5 linked regions of the Callithrix jacchus genome follow. The protein of the gene in region 3 purifies or fractionates together with the protein of the main gene of each other region. This does not show direct contact. Links are inferred from orthologs where the notes say so. Each region holds a gene or a part of one and is shown on either strand. Other genes may lie near its edges.

Region 1 (3,942 bases), on a different chromosome or scaffold from region 3:
GAGCCTTCATTATGTGTCAATTCAATGCAAGTTACTACAGGCAACTATAAAAGAAATGCTCAGTGTTGTCTCTGTCCTTGTGGAGCCAAACAACATAGCTGGAGTGACAGAGTTAACAAACACCAATTAACCAGACAGCAGATTAACGCAGCCCACTGCCAAGTGCTGGATTGGGATCCTAAGTGCTGTAGAAACTCAGGAAAGAAAAGAATGATTGTGGAAGGGATGGGGTGCGAGTGTCGTCACAGAGAAGGCAAAACCTGAAACAGCATTAAGAAAAAAAGAAAACTGGAATTGGCCTCAACAACTCAGTGAGTTCCTCAATAAAGTCGCAACAGTCATTAGCTCAGAGCAGCAAATGTGAACCTACCACCTACCTGGAATACAGGAATGCTAGTAGCTTATCCAGCAGGTGAAGTTTCCCACTAGCCTCAATCAGGTGGTCTCCAACTTCAAAAGGCTCTGGCTCCACACCTAGAAAAGAAAGAACCCACTCCCAGTCATGTGCCCTCAGTAAGGGCAGAAGCCAATAGTTAGGCTACAGGAAGAGAAGCCAAGCTCCTCTTATAAGTAGTTGTTTGCATGATGATCTCAGTTCTGCTTAACACCAGTTAGAGTCTGGCATATCTAACAAGCCTAATAAACGTCTATCTAAGGAATAAAACCACTCTTCAGAAAACTGACGCAGAAGAGGATGCTAAAGGTCAAGGAGACCTAAAACTGAAATCCTGAGACTCACTCTACAAAATAAATCAAAATGGCAGTCAGAATAACCTGGAGGGCTTCTTTCAAAACCTACGTGTTCCCACTGCCCCCTCCTCTTAAAAAAGTTCTCATATGTGCCTACTTAAGATTTTGTACTATCTTTAAATAGTTTGTAGCACCGCTCGGCAGAGATCCCCTTAAAGTAACTGCAGCAAACCCTCTGTACTGATCATGCGTAGAGTATCCACGGCCACAGGAGTGCTTGCTCCAAGGGCTAACAATCGGGGAATCAAAAAAGCCCCAGTCTGAAGAAAAACAAAAACACTACACATCAAAATCCCTAGGACGCAGCTACAACAGTGCTCAGGGGAAATTTACAGAGGTCTGCATGATGAGGGGAAGCAGCGAAGGAGACTGAGAAGAAGCAGATGGAGAAGAGAAAGTATATCCCAGAAGCCGAGGGAGGAAGGGCTTCAAGAAAGAAGTGATCAGCTGTGCTCAAGGCTTCTGAGAGGGTAACTGAAACATGAACTAACAAATAACCACCAGCTGGGCAACAGGGCGATCACTGGCAGACCTGGAACAGTGGTGACGAAAGGCTGAGTGGGTTCAAGACAATGGGAAATCGAATCACGAAGAAATGATCAAATCCATCCAAATTATCATGCATTTCATAGAACTATCGGTCTTGACTCTTCATGCATGAAAGAAAAAAAGGGCAAAAAAAAACACTCTGAAAAATGTTTGTAGGTTTTATAGGAAAATAAAAAGACATGACAAATGCAGTGCAGGATCTGCAGGGTCTAGGACTGATCATGGATTTAACAACAAAAAAAACATAGTTAGAAGGGATGGATATTAGATGGACAACTGAGGATATTTGAAAATGAACAATATATGACTTAACACTAATACAGAAAACTGAGAATAAACAAAGTAGACACAGTAAGTATATGCAATTATTCTGAAGAATTTTGGTATGATTCGGCCACAGAAATGTTAACAAAGAATAATGTGGAGGAAAGGGCACTGCCTCACCATCAAACAAGTATGGGTGATCCACACACTTTCGAAGCTGGGACAAGATGTTCTGAAGTTTAACTTTCTTTCCTGTCTCATTTTCAAATGCATCTGAAATTTAAAAAAAAGGGGGGGGGAGAGAAAGAGAGAGATGGCCTACTGAACAAAACAAAAACCAAAACCCTGAGTTTCTAGAAATAACCGTAATCATTTCAATTATATCCTTCGAACCTACGTTAACCTCCCAAATTTCACTGAATTGAACTGAGAATTAACATCATGTTCGTATAAAATTTCCCTAACCATTTTGTTTTAGGAAAGACCCCTCAAGTATAAATTGAACTCAGGAGTACTCTGTTACTCTTCTGCAAATTCTAAATTTTCTTTAACTGTTGTTGTGGAGTCAAGGGACAAAGAAATGCAAACTGAGAAATTATTTCACCCCTCTCTCTCCCTTGCCACTCCCAATTCCTCCCAGTGAATTTGATTCAACAAAAAAGTTTTGCATTCTCTTAAACACAGCAGTTCTCCCTTATCCATGGGGAATATGTTCTAAGACCCCCAGTGGATACTAGAAACACAGATAGTACCAAACCCTATATGCATTCTGTGTTTTCTCCTATATACCTATGATAAAGTTTGATTTGGCAAAGTAAAAGATTAACAATGACTCATAATAAAAATACAACAATTATAACAATATACTGTTCACAATGTCACAGAAGATTTGTTGTTAGCAATCTCGGTATAGAATTTTTTTTTCATTTTTTTGAGAACTTAAACCTTTTTTGCTTAAAAGAAGCACTCTATGGCTTCTTTGGCATAGTCAAAATGCAGGCATCACTACTCTTGTGCTTTGGGGCCATTTTTAGGTAAAATAAAGGTCACCTGAACAAAAGCACTACGATACCACGACTATCGGACTGATGACAGAGCAGCCACTAATGCGGACGGCGTGGATAACAGAACAAAAGGAGGATTCATGTCCTGGGTGGAACGGAGTGAGATTTCATCACGCTACTAACAATAGAGTTTAATTTAAAATTCACGAATTATTTTTGGAATCTTCCATTTAATATTTTCAGACTCTAGTTCAGTGCAGGTAACTGAAACCTTGGAGAGCAAAACTGCAGATGAGGGTGGACTACCATATCTGACGGGGGGGAGGATGAAAGGCATGACTAGGACACTTAGAAGTGTTTGCTTAATTACAGGCAGTAAGAAAAACTGAGTGAGGGGAGAAAAGGAAATTTCACAACTGCACCAACCAAGGCTGAGTTACATTTAAGAAGCTCCACCACAGTCCCGTGGTAGCTGACCGGAATTATTCGCAATACAAAATTCCACCTCATATTCTTGGGATCATACAAATAAGTGTGATTATAAAATATTTTACTACATGAAATCACATCCTCATTTAGTTTCTAAATGAACAGGTGCCCTCTGATTACCTAGGTCTTTCATCAAAATGGCCTTGTAGTATTTCTTCTGCAATGCTGACATGCCGTGGTATATCACTACTTCTGTCTTCCTGGGCAGCTCTGTAGCTACCTCAGCTTTCACTCGCCTCAGCAGAAATGGCTGCAAGAGTTTGTGCAGCTCACTAGCTATATAATAAAAAAAAATACAAGAAGCAAGGGACAAAAGTAGAACCAAGGCAATGAACTACTAGAGAACTTAAAGGAATTTCTTTTTGCTTCTCATTTCACGCTTATTCTGCACTTGGCCAGATGGTCATTTTTCACAGCACTTCTTCCTTCACTAGGATCTTCTTCCCAATTATTTCTGGAATCATTACTGGTTCTTAACCCAAGAACTAGGAACACCCAAACAACTTGATTCTTACTAATCTCATATCAACAAAGCTCTTTTGTTTCTAGAGCATTTTTGTATTTAATCTCATTGCTCAGCATAACAGCTTAGAAATTTCAGGTGAGAGAAATACTGTCCCCATTTTTATTTATAGCTGAGTTAAATGAGGCTCAGAAACTGGGCAACTTATCCGAAGTCACACAGCTGGATGTGAATGTGGCCAGCATTCAAATTTGGTTTTATGACTTTAAATCCCTTATTCTTTCCCCAGATGTCTTGAATTTCAAAAATTATTCTAAATTAGAATTACACCCCTGTAGGATTCCCAGATATGCAAATATAGGTGCCTAGTTCAATGGGAATTTCATATAAATAATGAACAACTTTTTAACACAAGTGTGTCCT
Region 2 (4,523 bases), on a different chromosome or scaffold from region 3:
TGAGACTCAGTATCAAAAAAAAAAAAAAAAAACGGTCGGCTGCAGTGACTTGCGCCTGTAATCCCAGCACTTTGGGAGGCCAAGGCAGGCAGATCACAAGGTCAGGCGTTCGAGACCAGTCTGACCAACATGGTGAAACCCTGTCTCTACTAAAAATACAAAAATTAGCTGGGTGAGGCAGCAGGTGCTGGTAATCCTAGCTACCTGGGAGGCTGAGACAGGAGAATCGCTTAAACCTGGGAGGCAGAAATTGCAGTGAGCCAAGACTGCACTACTGCACTCCAGTCTGGGCAACAGAGCAAGACTCCGCCTCAACTACAACAACAACAACAGAAACATCCAATTCACTTAAGTGGAAAAGAAAATCATAGCTGTCTGAGAATTCCATGCTATGCAGCATTAGGATATGGAGAGAAACTACATATGACGACGATTTTAAATTCAGCCAAACTGTCGTTAACTCCTTCATAACTTTTATATTATGAAACTATCATTCATAACATGCCACAATTAAGGAAGATACAAAAACTTAGGAACTATTGTTTCTTCCTAAGGAATCTCCTAGACAATACATTTCAGACAATCAAAAAACAATTCAAAAAGTTCCAATGTAAAGAAAATACAGGAGAAAAACAAATCAAGAACATGAAATTCTTTCCCAAGGAATCTCCTTCTGAACATGTTTCAGACACCTTCACAAAAAAAAAAAAAAAAAAGATTTGAGAAGCTTGAACTTAAGAAACATATGGAAGAATGAAAATAAAATCCAGAAGATTCCACAAAACAGATCTCCTTTTTGCAACAAATCTATGACATGCCAAGGCACTGGGGTGTGAGGGCAGGGTGCCCATAATAATCAAACATAACGCACTGTGGCAGAGCATGGTGGCTCACTCCTGTAATCCCAACATTCTGGGAGGCTGAGGCGGGAGGATCACTTGAGGTATTTGTTATTTCTTGGTTACAAATATTTCATTTACTTAAAGTAAAATAAAGATTAACCATACATATCACCTGCTAATTAATTCTCTTATCTTAATGCCACAAATATAATCAAAATTTAACTTAGTTATCTACTATTATACTCACTACTCCTGTGTAATAACGTAGTCCAACCACGTGACCTCTCAAACTTCCAAATAAAACTGAATCTAGTTCTTCATCACTAGTTAGAAAGTCATCTGGAGGGATAACATCTTGGAATTCAAAACGTGGAAAGAAAGTTGGATATGAGAGGCGTGGAAAATTTCCATGAACTTTATATTGGACAGTCTGCAAGTACTTCCAAACAGGATCCCTATTTAAAAAAAAAAAAGAGCAAAGAAAAACAATATAATATTCAAGTATTTCCAAAGACCATATGAGTTTTCCCGTGCTTAACTTCAGCAAATGAAATCTTACATGAGAATCACACTAAAGATTTATAGTTACTCTGGTTAAAGCAGAAATTGCAGTGAGTGGAGAAGGATTCCAGAAACTCCACCAGATCAGTATTGGCTCTTCTACCTGCTCCCCAGGTATTCAAAATGAAAAGCCCAGTCAGAGTTCACAAACCTCTTTCATAGTGAAAACCGTCTAAATTGAAATGTATATGATGTTAGTAACTACAATTAAGAGTCCGGCGTGGTGACTCACGCATGTAATCCCAGCACTTTGGAAGGCCAAGGCGGGATGATCACCTAAGGTCAAGAGTTTGAGACCAGCCCGGCCAACATGGTAAAACCCCTTCTCTACTAAAAACGTCAGAATTAGCCAGGTGTGGTAGCGCACATCTGTAATTCCAGCTACTCAGGAGGTTGAGGCAGGAGAATCTCTTGAACCCGGGAGGCTGAACCCGGAAGGCGAAGGTTGCAGCGAGCTGAGACTGTGCCACTGCTCTCCAGCCTGAGTGAGAGCGCGAGACTCCGTCTCAAATAAAAAAATAAATAAAACTGTATGTCAACATTTCAATACTGATTGAGCTACAAAAGACTTACAAAAATACAACTATTATTATACATGAGGCTGTTTGCAACTTTCCAGAAAATACATCCAGCATCCATTACTGTAACTCCCTCTGAGCAGAACACTTACTTTATTCCTGCATCCAAATCACGCCACCGTGGGAAATTGGCCCCCCAGCCTTCCGTACCCAGCTCCCGTCGCTGGTTTAAGCCTACCCCCAAACCTGTTACCTGTAACTGTTTGGAAAACAGCCATGAAAACCAATTTGGACAATGAAAAATGAGGGGAAGTCTACTGGAGCATTCCAAGAAGTTTCCATTTTCCTAAGAACAGTCGCTTTTAATTGCGCTGCGTTTTCCTTGCAAGCGGTGCGCACCTCTATTAGCTCCTCTGCAAATACATATCTCAATGGCTTTGCATACACATAAGCTGTGAGCCACTTGGGGGCAAGGGCTGTCTTACTCGGCCCTCCACCGAGAGCAGTGCTTGGCGCACAGTGGGCATCTAATGGTTATTTTGTTGAATAAAGCACAGGCCGAGAGGCTTTGAGCCCCAGGCCCCCGACAGTCAGTGACAGAGATTTCCCAAGTTCCTAACACAAGACTCGCCCTAGGAGCCCCTACTCGCCAGCCAAGACAATGCATTTATTTCCCCCGAGGCCACATAGGCGACCCACAAAAGGAATACAGCCGCACAAATCGCCGGAGGAACGCGGGGAAGGTCAGGTTCATTTGGGGACGCCTCCAGGCGGTTAGCCCCATCTCCCCACCCCCTCCACCCTCTTCACCTCTTGAACGTCCAGGACATGGCGCTGAGGGAGATGACAAGAGGAGCGCCTCGGCTCCCCTGGATTGTTCTCGGGTCTCCTCGATACGCCTCCTTCCAGGCCCCGCAGCCCTGAAGCGCGGGACAAGTTCCGAGCTCCGGATCGAGAGCGCACGGCTGAAGGATAAATCTCCGCGAGTCCAGTCAGACGTCGACGCCGTCTCCTTCTAGCAACAATCTGAGAGACCAGCGTCGCTCTGTGACTGGCACTGAGAAAACCCAATAACGAAGAGGAAACTGCGGAGGCAAACCAATCAAGGCATAGAAGGGAGGGCAACTCCGCCCCGCTGCCATTCAAAGACGGCTGGGGGTCCCGGCTGCAAGGGCGGTTCCATCCGGGTTCTTCCCCGCCCCCAAGGCGGGCGCGCGGGAAAGCCACGCGGCCTCTGGAGTGTGACTGCGGTGCCTGCGGTGCCTGCGGTGCCGGCGTTTTGTTTGATTTCCCTGCCTCAAACCGAGAGAGATGACTTTCCTTTACCTCACAAGTCCTAAGACGTAACCCCATTTTTCAGGCTCTACTGTATCCTCCCTCTGATTTTCTCCTTATCTAATGTGACACGTAAAAGGGCCTTATACTAAAAGAACTTGGGAGACCTGGAACTACAGGCAAGATCCTTTCTTCATTCCCTGTGGTTAACCCTGGGGACTTTCGCTCCAAATTTTCATTTTAAGCCTCAGCTTATGTATGAGACACAACGAGATCGGAAAATCTTAAATGGGACTTAAGGGTCCCCTTCCCACCTCCTTTTGTTATTTTTAAGGAAATTTTTTCTTTCTTGGTGCAGGAAAGCCATCGCACGCTTATCACAGCTATGGGGGCGTTTGCTGGAAATGGACTCCGCGCCATTTCCCCCATGGTCACGTGGCTGCCCCCTCCAGACAGGGGACACGCTTATTTTCCTCACGGAACTGCAGAGAGGCACCCTGAGGCCCTTGTGGCCCGCTTTCCAGAATCTGAGGTGACTGGAGGGAGAATGCGGGCTTGGGATGGTCAGCCTTGGGCCAGCTGCAGCTGAGGCCTGGTAGGGCTGGTCCCTGCGCTTTGGGGGTGGAGAGGAGGCTGTTGCCCCAGAGGTTGACCTTTTAACCGCAGAGGGCAGGAGGTTGGTGGTGGCGCCAACCTGCATAGGCAGCGCCATGTAACTGCCAGAGAATACTTGCCAGTCACAGAGAGGTCCATGTTAGAGGCCGGTCAGCACAGTATATTAGGTGGTCAGCTTTTTTTTTTTTTAATTGAGGCGGAGTCTTTCTCTGTCACTCTGGCTGGAGTGCAAAGGTGCGATCTTGGCTCACTGCAAGCTCTGCCTCCCAGGGTCCAGCAATTCTGCTTCAGCCTCCTGAGTAGAGATTACAGGTGCACTCCACCACGCCCGGCTAAGTTTTGTATTTTAAGTAGAGACAGGGTTTTACCATGCTGGCCAGACTGGTCTTGAACTCCTGACTTAAGGTGATCCTCCAGTCTTGGCCTCCCAAAGTGCTGGAATTACAGGCATGAGCCAGGTGCCGGGCCGGTGGTCAGCTTTTCAAGAAGCATTTGTTCATTATCATAAATAAACTGTAATTATCTGTATTCATGAATCATGGATGAGCAAGAGAATTTGAAGCAATGTATTATTTAATTTCACCAAAGTTGATAAGGAAGATAGAGACAATGGCATTTCAAATTATTTTTTAATTGTTTTGTGTTCTTCCTGAAGTGTGTTGAGGCAAATGACAATACAGGTTGAGTTTTTGGTGTGCCAGATTTTAAATAA
Region 3 (4,373 bases):
ATGAGAATATAACATCAATATAGATACATATAAAAACAGAGACAAATATCAATTATAAACATTTTAAAAATTCCTGTATTTTTCTAATTATTAACAGCTAATGCTTAATGAAATTTTTGCCATTTCTTCAAAATACACAAAACAGGAAATGTTCTACATGAAAGCACTCAGTGACAGAAAGAAAATATATTTGAAATATTCCAACTTTTGCTATACAACTCAAAATATATATATACACACACATAAAAGGAGTAGATAAATCAGGTGTGAGTTAGCAGATACATCTTAGTATTTTTTATGAACGACTCCCAAATTGAGAGATGTAACTAAATGCCCTAATATTTCCATTTTTAGCCCTCATCATCACCTGCTAAAAATGAGCTAAGAAAAAGCATAGGTCATACTCGAAAACTTCAACAAAACTCACTGCAACTAAATGGGGTCTGATACTTTAAAGAATATTTCCCTTTAAAAACGTTACTATGTGGCAATCTACTTATTGACCTCACAATCTTTATACTAGCGCTTTAAACCCTTCAATTTTTCTCAAAACAACAACAAAAAAGTGGGCTTTGCATTTTATTTCAAAACATGAGATATAAAAGTGAACAAATCTTTTAATAATATCAAACACAGATGTTTCTTAGCCAGCAACCATTTCATAAATAAGAAAGGCTCTTTGGCAAATTATCTGTGTGACTTTGGTCAAGTCATAACCCCCAGTGTTTTGTTATCTCGTCCTACTTTATATTTTACGTTCTAAATGCTTTAATTAGCAGTCAGTTAACAACCATTTTGGATTTAAATTAACCCAAAAGGTAATAAGCCATGAAAACTAAAGATAGTTCATAAGTAAGCACAGGTGGTTGTAGCCAAGTGTTAAATAAATTGGTTTCTATACCCAAAAAGATTGTTCCCGATCCAGCCTGTTGTTTTCACAAATTGAGACTCCTCAGGCACAAGGGAACCAGGTAAGAGAATGGAAAAGGCTCAGTACCTTTTATTACTAACACCGAAGAAAAATACACATTCGAATTCCCAACTGACAGTGCTGTTAGACGTTTCATGCTAGTATATGGCTAGCACATAAAATAATATTCTTTAAACAGATAGATATTGTGAAAACAGAAAATTTAATATCCTTTTCTTCTAACTCAAAATATCGTTTTGGATCCTTTTAAAAAAAAATGTCTGTTCCTTTCTTCTGACAATGTAAGTTGGTGGAGACTGAAACAAAACACTTTGCAAGTGGACATCGCCTTTACAAAACAGTTAATTGTTTTTTCTTCCTCTTGTCTAAAGACCAGCTATTTGGACAAAGTTTTCCTGATGATTATAATTCTACCAAGTTCTGAACAACCATCGAAGAAAAGAAAAACTAAATGTATTTCCATTCTGCCCACAGCATACACTGGCCCATTTGAGACACAAATTGTAAATGAAAGATTGGGCTGAACAACATCCTCCACTTTAAAATATACAAGGCACCAAAACAAACACATCCAAAATCTATTTTTAGAGTGGCATTCACTCTTCCAGTTTTCTCTTTAAAATGAGATTTACTTGACCTATTTTCATGTGTTTTTAGGGCACCAAGACAGTCCACAAAAACAGTATTTGCTAGTCATAAAACAGCAAAGGCACAATCACAAATCCTGTTATTTGTGTGGGATATTTTCTTCATGTGTCCTTACGTGCCATGTCTTAAAAGTCTAAATATAGATTCACTGACTAAAATGTCCTAAGTCTTCCAGATTTATAATTATATACTGCATTGAATGCCAATATTATACGTTCACATCCCATTTGAAAAGTACACACACGGGGTGGGGGTGATGTGCCCAGCACCTGAAATGTCAATCATACAAAGAACAAAGCGTTCCCCATCATCTTTTGGCTTTCTTCTCTCCTCAGTTGTACATTGTTTCAATATTACAAAAATATCACTTAAAATGTTCAAAACTTGAGAAATAAGTGCTCACTAAAACGGCACTTAAATTAAAACGTATACCAAAATGATGAACGAGAAAAGATTCTTGTTGCCAGGATGTGTGTGTAAACTTACAGTCCTGTGGAGAGGACGGTTCCCTCTCCACATTCTTAAAAATAATTTTACATTCTTTAGAAGCCTTTGAAAAATAAATAGCGACAACAATGGAAGACCCGCACTCCTTCAGACTGGATGGAGGGTAGGAAGAGAACTCCCCACCCAACAACCAGAACAAAGCAACAGCCTCGGCTTTTAAGATGTACAGAGGGTCTGGAGGCTCAAGGGACATTCTGAGACCTCTTAATTGTTCCGATGCTTTAACAGCCGTCAAAACAGCTAAGAATATGCAATGCGGGGCTTCACTAGGACAAGGTGCAGGAATGCTCTCTTCGTATTAGGCAAGACCGAGACACTGAGCAGGAGGAGAAAAAGGAGGAAGAGAAAGAGCAGAGAAAGCAGCAGCCAGAGACACTCCGGGAAAAGACAAAATGCAGACTGTACGCCCTGGCTTCGATCTGACCCAAGGCCCAAAGTGTCTGACCCCACACGGGAAACAGGGAGCAGGCTACTGCCAAAAAACCATCGCCGCCCCTACACCTCGAGGCCAGAAGGTCCCCGCGTAGAGGCCTGACACCACGGCCCAGGGGGAGGAGAGGGACCCGCCTGCTACCCGAGGCACCGACGCGGGCTCCGGCGGAAGAGGCTGCGCAGTAATGGCCGCTGCTCCGCCCCTCGCACCCCGACCGAGACCAGCTCAGGCCGTCACCCAGGGCAGGGTCTGCGGCGCCCTCGGGCAGCACAGGGGCTGTCACGGCCGTCTAGCCTGCGACCGCAGCCAAGGCTGGGGTGGCGGAAAAGGCTGAGCTGTCCCATCCCGCCTCTGCGCGGGCAGCCGCGGCCGCGCCAGCCCAAGGGCGTCCATCTACGTACCGGCCCCTGACCCCGCCGCCGCCCCTCTCAGGCCCCGAGCGCAAGGCCGACCCGGAGTACGTCGCGGCTGAAGGTGACACCGCGAGCTATGCTTCCTCTCCCCCAGTGAGGGTCCTGGAGTGGCCGGAGTTCTCCCTGCTCCCCCGACAGGGCCTCGCTCCGACTGCCACCTCTCTGGCCACAGCAGCGGACACCTCGCAGTCTTTTTCTCTCCGGCCTCTGAGCCCGCAGCGGCCGGGGACGCGCGCGGCCCTCACGTGACCACCCGGCGCGTCGCGGGGGCGGGGCCGCGCGGGGCGGAAGCCGCGCCGCGCACCCGCGGGCTCGCTCCGGCGTCTCTTCGTTCCGTCCCGGTTTCGCGCCGCTGCCTGCCTGCACTCTCCTGCCTGTGGGGATCCGCGACTTCGCTGCTTGGATCCTTCTGGCTGCTTTAGAGTGTACTTTGTTTGTATTAGGGGCCAGAGGCTCTGAAAGAATGCAGCTCCAGCAAGCAGATTTGGGGTGGAGGAAGTAAAACGCGTGTAGGAACTGCAGGTGGTGCTGCGCAGAAATCCAGTTTTGCGATCCGGGAGAAGCCCTGGGGTGCCTAGCCGAGTTTCGGCTTGAAGATCCCCTGGCAAAAGAACTGCTTTTCCCTTTCAAGAAATAAAAAAGGGTGGTGGGGGGCGGACCGAGGGGGTAGAGTATTCTAGGGCTTTCTAATTTATTCACCTTTTTAATGGTTGAGCAATTTAATCGGGAAAAGCATGGATATTACTTTCCCTTTGAACCCCTCCTTTTTTTAAAAAAAAAAAACAGAATAGTGCTTGAAAAACTGGAGAAAGAAATTAATCTGCATGAGAATCTAAAATTAAAGAGGTTATTTTGATCGCAAGCCTGTGGTTTAAAACATCAGAACTCTAGCAGTATTCACCATTTTCGCATGTACATTTCCTTTTTCAGAACTGATTAAATTTTCCTAATTTGTAGGAAAATGAAGAGGGTGGAAGAGCAGGCCTTTTATCTTTAAAAGCGTATGTATTTCAAAATTTTATGACAGTGTCTTATTTGCAATAGTGTTGCGTTTTGGGATTTCATTAAATGTTTCATTCAGGATGGGAAGTTTTCAGCGACCTTATATGTATAGAAATTTATATGTTTTCTGTTATTCCTCTGAATCAGTTTATTTCAGGGTTCTCATTCTCATATCTCAATATGTAAACCAGTCTCTTGAAAGGTGCCATCTAGTTCAGTGATGCTTGCTCATGTATGCAAAACTGCTTTTCTTACAAGTTCTGTACATATAGAAATATTGAAGTGTATGTCCTTTAAGCTTAGTTTTCTATCTTCATCTTCTTATTAGCCACTCAGTTTTATCCCTCTATCCTACACAGCCCATGAACACAGAATAGCTAAAATTTGATAATGTACCCAAAGATTCCAACTTGAAGAAATAATGCTATTATTAATTAGC
Region 4 (4,541 bases), on a different chromosome or scaffold from region 3:
TTTTGTTTGTTTGCTTGCTTGAAGACCAAGACTGTGTTGGGCCACTTGATTCCCAGCGGCTGCAAGAACTGGGATTCCCTCTCCTCTCTCTTCCCCTCTCCTCCCAAGGAAGCACCCAGTGTGGGTGGGGCCCTACCTTGGGGCATGCAGCATGTCCAGGCTGGTTCTTTGGGTGCCAGGTGCTTTGTCTCCCTTCCCTTCTCTTCATGTGCTTGGCTCACACTCCCTGTATGTTTGGGCTGCCTCCAGCTGCAACCTCACCCAAGGCTGCATCCTTGGGTCTCCAAGGGACCGAACGAACAGAGGGATGCCTGTCAGCAGCCATAGCGGGCATAGTAAAAGACAAATGCTTACAGGCCACATATTGGGAAACTGAGGCTTTTGTGGAAGCATTCTAGGATGGGGTGTGCCCATGTGTGTGTGTGTGTGGGGGGGTTTGGGCATATGCTTTGTGTTTTATTTAGGACTCTGAATCCTTCTCTTTTGGCCTCAGGCATGAGGCTGAGAGAGATCTGAGAATGTTTTCTTTTTCTTTTCTTTTCTTTTTTTTTTTTTTTTTGAGATGGAGTTTCGCTCTTGTTGCCCAGGCTGGAGTGCAATGGCGCGATCTCGGCTCACCGCAACCTCCGCCTCCTGGGTTCAGGCAATTCTCCTGCCTCAGCCTCCTGAGTAGCTGGGATTACAGGCACTCGCCACCATGCCCAGCTAATCTTTTGTATTTTTAGTAGAGACGGGGTTTCACCAAGTTGACCAGGATGGTCTCGATCTCTTGACCTCGTGATCCAACCGCCTCGGCCTCCCAAAGTGCTGGGATTACAGGCGTGAGCCACCGCGCCCGGCTCTGAAATGTTTTCGTGTGTGTGTGTGTGTGGCAGGGGGACAGAGAGAAGAGTGCAGCCGCCTGAGCTGTTGGAGAAGATCCTGTTGCGTAGGATCCAGGTTCCCTACGAAACTATGAAAATTCACTCAGATTTGCTGTCCTAGCCCAGCGCGGTGGCTCACGCCTGTAGTTCCAGCACTTGGGGAGGCCAAGGCAGGCGGATCGCTTGAGCTCAGGAGTTCGAGACCAGTCTGGGCATCATGGCAAGACCCGCCGCCCCCTCAACCCTCCCCCGTCTTCACAAAAAATACAAAAATTAGCCGGATGTGATGGTGCATGCCTGTAATCCCAGTTTAGGAGGCTGAAGTGGGAGGATCTCTAGAGCCCAGGAGACAGAGGTTGCAGGGACCCGAGATCCTGCCACTGCACTCCATCCTGGGTGAGAGATCAAGACCCTGTCTCAACAAAAAATTTTAAAAAATAATAAGTAATAATAATAATACAGCAAAAAGATTTGCTTTCTGGGCTCCAGTATGGGCGGTGACTGCATCGTCCAATGAGAATCGCGAATTTCTTCTAGACACCAATCCCAGAGGTCGCTTCTGTTGCTAGGCGCCCGGAAAGGAGGGTGTGGACGTCATCGGGAGGCGGGGCTAGAGCGGGGGTGTGTGGCAGAGGAAGGCGGGGCTCCAGGAAACGCTCGTTGCTAAGGAACGCAGTGCACTTCCCGCTCCGGAGAGGCGCGACTGAGCTTGCGCAGTGTCGACGCCAGCGCCGGCGCGCCGGGGTTTGAAAGGCCCGAGTCTCGCGCGCTTGCGCACTTCAGCCCGCGCAGGGTGCACCCCACCGCCTCCCGCCTTCCTCGCCCCTCGGACCCCAGATCGTACCTCATCCCTGTGGCCAAGTGAAGCCCACGAAATTGACATGCCGGAGATCCGCCTCCGCCATGTCGTGTCCTGCAGCAGCCAGGACTCGGTGAGGGACCTGCGTGGGGGCAGGTTGGGAGACGTGAGGGAATTAATGAGGATAGCTCCTTAAAGAATTTTTGGGGTCCTTCTTGGAAGTCTAAGGAGAGTCAGTGGGGGGATTTCCAAGAGGCTAAAAGTGAGTTGTGGAGAGATGTTGAATCAGGGACATTCTGGCCTCTAGGGAACTTCCGGAGAGAAAAGGAGGAACAGGGAAGCTTTCTTGGAGAGCCCGTAGGTGAACTTCCACGGAAATTGTTATAGGGGAAACTCCAGGCAGAGTGTGGCGGATTAACCGGGGAGCTTAAATCCGGAGGCCTTGGGAGGACTCAAAGGAATCATCTGAGAGCTGGAGGCCTAGCTGTCATCTTTGTGCCTTAATTCTCCTCTCCCATTCTTGTTTCCAGACCCACTGTGCAGAAAATCTTCTCAAGGCAGACACTTACCGAAAATGGCGGGCAGCCAAGGCAGGCGAGAAGACCATCTCTGTGGTCCTACAGGTGATCCTGCCACCCCACCTCCTCCTCACTAGGAATCTGGAGTCCGGGGGGGCGGGGTCCGGATTCTGCTCCTGAGCCAACTGGCAATGGGTTGAGTCACTTTCTTTGCTGGGCCTCAGCCTCCTTACCTGGAAAATGGGCAGCATAATCCCTGTGCCCCTCAGCAGAGAGGGAAGGAGACCCAAGGATTAGGTCCAGGATGATCACAGGAATCAGTGTGTGGTCTGGGCAGGTGGCTTCTACTTTCTGGGTCCCAGTTTCCTTAGCTGAAACAAAATGAATTATTGCAACGTACCCTGCTTCCTGTAGCCAGTGGGCTCAGGACTGGAAGGTGTCCAGGAAGGTCGTCTAAGCCAATCAACTCCACTTCAAAGAAGGGGAAACTAGCTAGGTATGGTGGCTCATGCCTGTAATCCCAGCACTTCCGGAGGCTGAGGTGAGAGGATTACTTGAGCTCAGGAGTTCCAGACCAGCCTGGGCAACATATCACGACCCTGTCTCTACTTTTATTAAAATAAATAATTGTTTTTTTAAAGAATAATAGGCCAACTGTGGTGGTTCACACCTGTAATCCCAGCACTTCGGGAGGCCGAAGCTGGAGGATCTCATGAGCCCAGGAGTTTGAGACCAGCATGAGCAATATACTGAGATGTCGTCTCTACAAAAATTTTATAAATGAGCCAAGCATGAGGATGTACACCTGTAATCCAAACTACTGGGGAGTCTGAGGTGAGAGGATTGCTTGAGCCCAAGAGATGGAGGCTACAGTGAGCTGAGATTGCACAACTGCACTCCAGCCTGGGCAATGGAGGGAGATAATAAATAAAAATAAAAATATAAAATAAAAAAATAATAATAATGAGAGCGAACATTATTCAGCGTTACCTGCCAGTCACTGCTCTACACACCTCACTTCTGGATTAGCTCACTGAGTCCATATAAAAAGCCCCATGAGACAGGGTCGGTTATTATCCCCAGTTTAACAGATGAGGAAACCGAGGCCCAAATAAGTTATACAACTTGTCTGACAGTCAATCTTTTATTTGTTTATTGAGACAGAGTCTCACACTGTTGCACAGCTATAGTGCAGTGGCACAATCTTGGCTTGGCTCACCGTAACCTCCACCTCCTGGGCTCAACCGATTCTCTTGCCTCAGCCTCTTGAGCAGCTGGGACTGCAGGTGTATACCCATGCCTCGCTAGTCCTTTTATATTTTTTTTAGAGATGGTGTTTCCACCATGTTTCCAGGCTGGTCTCAAACTCCTGGGCTCAAGCGATCCTCCTGTTTCAGCCTCCCAAGTGCTGGGATGATGTATTTGCCATCGTTCCTGGCTCAGTGGGTGCTTTATGACTATGAGGAGCAGAACACTCTGTGGATAGTGCTAGCATGAAGGAGGATAAATTAACCTTTGTGAATGGGCAGTCATTCAGCATATATCCACTCCTCTCCCTCCCACTGGAGGGGGGGTATATATTTCCCTGCTCCATTGATGGGTTTGACCATATGATTTACTTAATGGAATCTGAGCACACCTAACTTCAGCAAGGGCCTTAAATGCACTTGGCTTTTGTACTCCCATGATCTGCCATGAAAACATTTGCCAGGTTGTTGCTGATCCCAGAAAACTGTGGAATTCCATGGAAGAGACCTGAATCCTCCCAAACTGCAGCCAAAGCGGCCATCCCACAAACCCTTAGAAGGATGCTTGTTGGTATAAGTTTCAGTTTTCATGTTGGGAGGCCAAGGTGGGTGGATCACTTGAACCCAGGAGTTTGAGACCAGCCTGGGTAACATGGGGAAACCCTGTCTCTACAAAAAAATACAAAAAATAGCTGGGTGTGGTGGCACATGCCTGTAGTCCCAGCTACTAGGGAGGCTGAGTGGGGAGGATCGATTGAGCCCATGACGTTGATGCTGCATAGAGCTGTGGTGGTTTCACTTCACTCCAGCTTGGGAGACAGAGTAAGACTGTCTCAAAAACAAAAACTAAAAACCCCAAAAAGGAAACAAACAAACAAAAAAGGTCTCAGTTTTAGGATAATGTTCTACATGGCATTATTACAGTATGAGTTAATACAGCTTCGTTGTTTTAAACCACTGAGATCAGGGACTTCTTCGTTACTGTAACATCTTCTAATCTGTCCCAGTTGATGTCAGTGTTTAACACCTGTCAACTATGGCCTCCACTTCCCAGGTTCAAGTGATTCTCCTGCCTCAGCCTTCTGAGTAGCTGGAATTTACGGGCATGTGCCAC
Region 5 (4,438 bases), on a different chromosome or scaffold from region 3:
AATCACTTGAACCCAGGAAGTGGAGGTTGCAGTAAGCTGAGATCACACCACTGTACTCTAGCGTGGTTGAGACTCCATCTCAAAAAAAAAAAAAAAATTCTGAGTTAAAGAAAACTTGGCTGGGTGCAGTGGCTTACCCCTGTAATCACAGCACTTTGGGAGGCCAAGGCAGGTGGATCAACTGAGATCAGGAATTTGAGACCAGCCTGGCCAACATGGTGAAACCCCATCTCTACTAAAAATAAAAAATTAGCTGGGCATGGTGGCACGCGCCTGTAGTCACAGCTACTTGGGAGGCTGAGGCAGGAGAATCACTTGAACCCAGGAGGCGGAGGTTGCACTGAGCCGAAATTGAGCCACTGCACTCCAGTCTGGACAACATAGTAAGATTCTGTCTCAAAAAAAAAAAGAAAACTTACTGTAGAGGTAGCCTTTCTGTATTTCAGATTCTTTCCCCATTCATCAGTAACTCATGCCATTGGGTACAGTTTCTCATTAGAACAAGAAAACAGTTTTCCCTTAACAATGACATTTTCTGGTTGAAAAAGAGAATGAGGTATAGAAGGCTGATGGCAACCACAAAAGGTAAGCATGTGATATAATTTGTGTATTTGTCTCCTTCCAAATCTCATGATGACTTGTAATCCTCAGTATTGGAGGTGGAGCCTGGTGGGAAGTGATTGGATCATGGAAGTGGATTTCTCTGAATGGTTTAGCACCACTCTCTCACTGCTGTCCTCTTGATAATGAGTGAGTTCACCCAAGATCTGATAGTTTAAAAGCATGTGACACCTCCTCCACTCTCTCTCTCTCTGTCTCTGTCACCTTCTCTCTCTCCCTCTCCCCTGCTTTCGCCATGTGAAGTGCCTATTCCTGCTTCACCTTCTGCCATGAGTAAAAGCTTCGTAAGGCCTCCTGAGGAGCAGATACCCTTGTGCTTCCTATACAGCCTCCAGAACCATTAGCCATTAAATCTGTTTTCTTATAAAATACCCAGTCTCAGGTATTTCTTTATAGCAATGCAAGAATGGTCTAACACACCATGTTAAAAAACACCCTGATTATTAACCCCAAGTCCTACCACTCCTATCCCTTGCCATTGGAGAAAACTAATCACTCATCATATTTTAGAGAGGATTCCTAAAATGAATACTAACAGTATCCCAGACGAGTCCTTGTAACAAAGGATGCTCTCTGAGACACCCATGGCCTGAAGATTGGTTCCAGATTCTCTTACCTTACCCACTTTGGCTGTACATTCTGGGTCCACAGGAGCTTTGCCCTTTAACAGCAAGGCCTTCACAGATTCTGAGGAAAAACATAGAGGTACTACTTTATGGGAAGCAAAAACAGCTGCTGTGGCTAAACAGAAACTTGTCAGGATTAACTTTGCCCTCCCACGCAATCCTGGTCTTTCCTTAGGCCTCAATCCACCTCAAATACATGAAAACGAAGATTCAAGGCAGTAGATTAGTTTTGTGGTATGCCCAAAGGCTAGATAAATTAATTATATCCGGAAAGAAGGAAGAAATAAGAGCTGACATAACAAGATATCATCCCCTCATCCACCCCTATCAGAGACCCTCTTGCTGACCATGACCTCCCTGGCCTACCATCTTGCTTGTCTTCTGTCCTGTCCTTGTTAGCTTTTCCTCCAGCCACAGGCATCTGTTTCAACCCCTGTCTCTGGCATCTGTGAGTCTTCTTGGCAGGGGAAGAGTCTTCTGGAGCTGTATTGCCATCATTAACTCTTTTGTTTCCATTTAATGCTACAGAATTTGGAAATGGGCAAAGAAGAACGAGTACACCTGAATATGTGTAGATTTAAGAGACTGAAAAAAATATTTTAAAGAAATGGTTTAGGATAATTTTCTTTTCTTTTTCTTTTTTTTAGGCAGAATCTCACTCTGTCACCCAGGCTGGAGTGCAGTGCTGCGATTTCGGCTCACTGCAACCTCCGCCTCCTGGGTTCAAGTGATTCTTGTGCCTCAGCCTCCCGTGTAGCTGGGATTACAGGTGTGCACCACCATGCCCAGCTAATTTTTGTATTTTTAGTAGAGACAGGGCTTCACCATGTTGGCCAGGCTGGTCTCAAACTCATGACTTCAAGTGATCTGCCTGCCTCGTTCTCCCAAAGTGCTGGGATTACAGACGTGCACCACCACACCCTGCCGGTTTAAGATAATTTTCTAAGTTTACAAAGAGGCAATAACTGTCGAAACACTACTCTTGTATAACAGACTGTGGAATTCTTCCTAAATTGCTATTTTAGCCAAATGAAATAAAACAAAATAAAAGGGAGCCCCAGGAGTCTTGTAAGTTCATAGACTGAGGCCTGCCTATCTGTTTTGTTTACTTGTGTCCCAGTGTCCCCCAAATATCCACCTCATACATGGGGCGGTATGGGATAAAGGTTAGTAAAGTGCTCAAGGGTTTGTGCCTAACTTAGAGCCTAGCTCTGCTGCTTCAAGTATTTGATCTCTTCCTACTTCACTTGCTTCAATATTAGAATACTGTACAACAATATTCTATTTCTAGAGAAGTACAATAGTACCTAATTTATAGGGTGAACCTATGCATTTAAGAACATTATACACATAATACTCTATCTCAATAGGTCTAAGACTTGCATTTTACTCTCTCGAACTGGGATGCATCTTACAATGGACGACAGAAGTAGCGAATCATAGTACACCATTTTCAGTGCTTATCCTTTCTTGTGGAGTATAAAATCATGGTGTACCCTGCAATTACTTTTTGTAAATTGGATGACATTAGGTATTAACAACACTACTGGCACTATTAGTTGTTCCAGGTCCGCAAAGCTTTATGCACAATTATGTAATCCCCAAAGGTACGAAAACAAAAATTTAGCACCCAAACTGGTTTGGTAGACACGTTATGGGGAGCTGTAAGGGAAAGGGTGTCACCGTAGGTGGCATTGTTCCTTTTCTGACTCCCCACCCCGCATTCCTCTCGGCGTTAATATGCTCCAAACCTCTCGCCCTGCTGCCGCCGGTGCTCCGTCGCCGTCGCGCAGCCATGGAATTCAAACGCTGACGTCATCAACCCGCTCCAAGGAATCGCGAGCCCAGCGTCAGTTGGCGGGAAACCCAGCGCGCGTGCGCCCTGGCAGGAAGACGACTGTGAGGGACAGGCGAAACACGACCTGCAATATTTGCATGTCGCTGTGTCTTCTGGGAAGTCACCATAATCGTGAAATGTCTTAGGGTATGGGAGTCTTATAAGTTGTCTGTGGGACTACTTTTCCTCATAGGGCGGAGGGAAGCTCATCAGTGGGGCCACGAGCTGAGTGCGTCCTGTCACTCAATTTCTATGTCCCTTGGGAAGGTCTGAGACTAGGGCCAAATGCGGCCCTAACAGGGCTCTCCCTGAGCTTCGGGGAGGTGAGTTCCCAGAGAACGGGTCTCCGCGCGAGGGTCAGAATGGGCAGGAGATGCCGCGGACCCCGCCTTTCGGGGTGGGACCCGGCGGATGCCTCCTTTGCCGGAGCTTGGAACAGACTCACGGCCAGCGAAGCGAGTTCAATGGCTGAGGTGAGGTACCCTGAACGGGGGCCTCATAACCCAATTCAGACTACTCTCCCCCGCCCTCTTTTGAAGAAAAACCGAGTGGCAGCGGTAAAGCGAGAGGTTCGTAGCGTATCAACGCCGGGCGGAATGCGGGGGCGGGGAGTGGAATGTAGAAAAGTTCCATGAAACTGCATGGAACAGAGGGAACCCGGGGCCAGGAAGTCCGCGAAATTGCTACTGGTCTTCTGGTTCTTGGTGACGCTAGGTCAGGGGCGCCCAAATATTTGGCTGCATGAGAATCACCGAGTATGGGGACTGTAAACTTAGGCAGATTCCCCACTCCAGACCCTCTGGTTCGATAAGCTTGTGTTAACTATATCATCGGGTAATCCTGATTTTGGCACCAATATCGTTTAGAAACACATTGTTAGGATAAAATAGTCCCTGTTATAGACCAACCAGAGCAAAATAGCAAAACTCCGTCTCTATAAAAAAATTTAAAAATTAGCCGGGCGTGGTGGCGCGGGCCTGTACTGTAGTCCCAGCTACTCAGGAGGCTGAGGCAGGAGAGTCGCTTGAACTCGGGAGGCGGAGGTTGCAGTGGGCTGACATCGCACTACTAAACTCCAGCCTGAGCGACAGAGCGAGACTGCGTCTCAAAAAAAAAAAAGAGGAAAAAAAGATAAACTTTAATTTTTGTTAATCAAAAGATGTAAAGTTGGGGCCGGGCGCGGTGGCTTACGCCTGTAATCCCAACACTTTGGGAGGCCGAGGCGGGTGGATCACGAGGTCAAGAAATCGAGACCATCCTAGTCAGCAAGATGAAACCCCGTCTCTACTAAAACTACAAAAACTAGCTGGGCATGGTGGCGTATGCCTGTAGTCCCAGCTACTCAGGAGGCTGA

The links.
Region 1: the proteins of RNF146 (region 3) and CHD1L purify together in Homo sapiens (co-immunoprecipitation; 3 studies listed by BioGRID and IntAct, counting the BioPlex papers as one, with this or other methods). This does not show direct contact. The link is inferred for Callithrix jacchus from reciprocal best matches to the Homo sapiens genes RNF146 and CHD1L.
Region 2: the proteins of RNF146 (region 3) and HLTF purify together in Homo sapiens (affinity purification with mass spectrometry; 4 studies listed by BioGRID and IntAct, with this or other methods). This does not show direct contact. The link is inferred for Callithrix jacchus from reciprocal best matches to the Homo sapiens genes RNF146 and HLTF.
Region 4: the proteins of RNF146 (region 3) and XRCC1 purify together in Homo sapiens (co-immunoprecipitation; 3 studies listed by BioGRID and IntAct, with this or other methods). This does not show direct contact. The link is inferred for Callithrix jacchus from reciprocal best matches to the Homo sapiens genes RNF146 and XRCC1.
Region 5: the proteins of RNF146 (region 3) and PARP2 purify together in Homo sapiens (affinity purification with mass spectrometry; 4 studies listed by BioGRID and IntAct, counting the BioPlex papers as one, with this or other methods). This does not show direct contact. The link is inferred for Callithrix jacchus from reciprocal best matches to the Homo sapiens genes RNF146 and PARP2.

What each region holds. Positions count from the first base shown.
Region 1 is NC_133519.1:7,379,254-7,383,195, reverse strand, and holds part of CHD1L (chromodomain-helicase-DNA-binding protein 1-like), read right to left. Parts: intron 3,333-3,942; coding exon 3,177-3,332; intron 1,837-3,176; coding exon 1,744-1,836; intron 475-1,743; coding exon 378-474; intron 1-377. UniProt on the Homo sapiens protein: ATP-dependent chromatin remodeler that mediates chromatin-remodeling following DNA damage.
Region 2 is NC_133518.1:36,169,006-36,173,528, reverse strand, and holds the start of HLTF (helicase-like transcription factor), read right to left. Parts: upstream 2,958-4,523; 5' UTR 2,752-2,957; coding exon 2,732-2,751; intron 1,298-2,731; coding exon 1,090-1,297; intron 1-1,089. UniProt on the Homo sapiens protein: Has both helicase and E3 ubiquitin ligase activities. Possesses intrinsic ATP-dependent nucleosome-remodeling activity; This activity may be required for transcriptional activation or repression of specific target promoters.
Region 3 is NC_133505.1:133,838,881-133,843,253, reverse strand, and holds the start of RNF146 (E3 ubiquitin-protein ligase RNF146), read right to left. Parts: upstream 3,153-4,373; 5' UTR 2,921-3,152; intron 1-2,920. UniProt on the Homo sapiens protein: E3 ubiquitin-protein ligase that specifically binds poly-ADP-ribosylated (PARsylated) proteins and mediates their ubiquitination and subsequent degradation. May regulate many important biological processes, such as cell survival and DNA damage response.
Region 4 is NC_133523.1:38,064,373-38,068,913, reverse strand, and holds the start of XRCC1 (DNA repair protein XRCC1), read left to right. Parts: upstream 1-1,627; 5' UTR 1,628-1,744; coding exon 1,745-1,795; intron 1,796-2,192; coding exon 2,193-2,285; intron 2,286-2,821; exon of another isoform or gene 2,822-3,014; intron 3,015-4,541. UniProt on the Homo sapiens protein: Scaffold protein involved in DNA single-strand break repair by mediating the assembly of DNA break repair protein complexes. Negatively regulates ADP-ribosyltransferase activity of PARP1 during base-excision repair in order to prevent excessive PARP1 activity.
Region 5 is NC_133509.1:55,070,503-55,074,940, reverse strand, and holds the start of PARP2 (poly [ADP-ribose] polymerase 2), read right to left. Parts: upstream 3,052-4,438; 5' UTR 3,045-3,051; coding exon 2,999-3,044; exon of another isoform or gene 2,972-2,998; coding exon of another isoform or gene 2,965-2,971; intron 1,770-2,964; coding exon 1,614-1,769; intron 1,309-1,613; coding exon 1,238-1,308; intron 1-1,237. UniProt on the Homo sapiens protein: Poly-ADP-ribosyltransferase that mediates poly-ADP-ribosylation of proteins and plays a key role in DNA repair.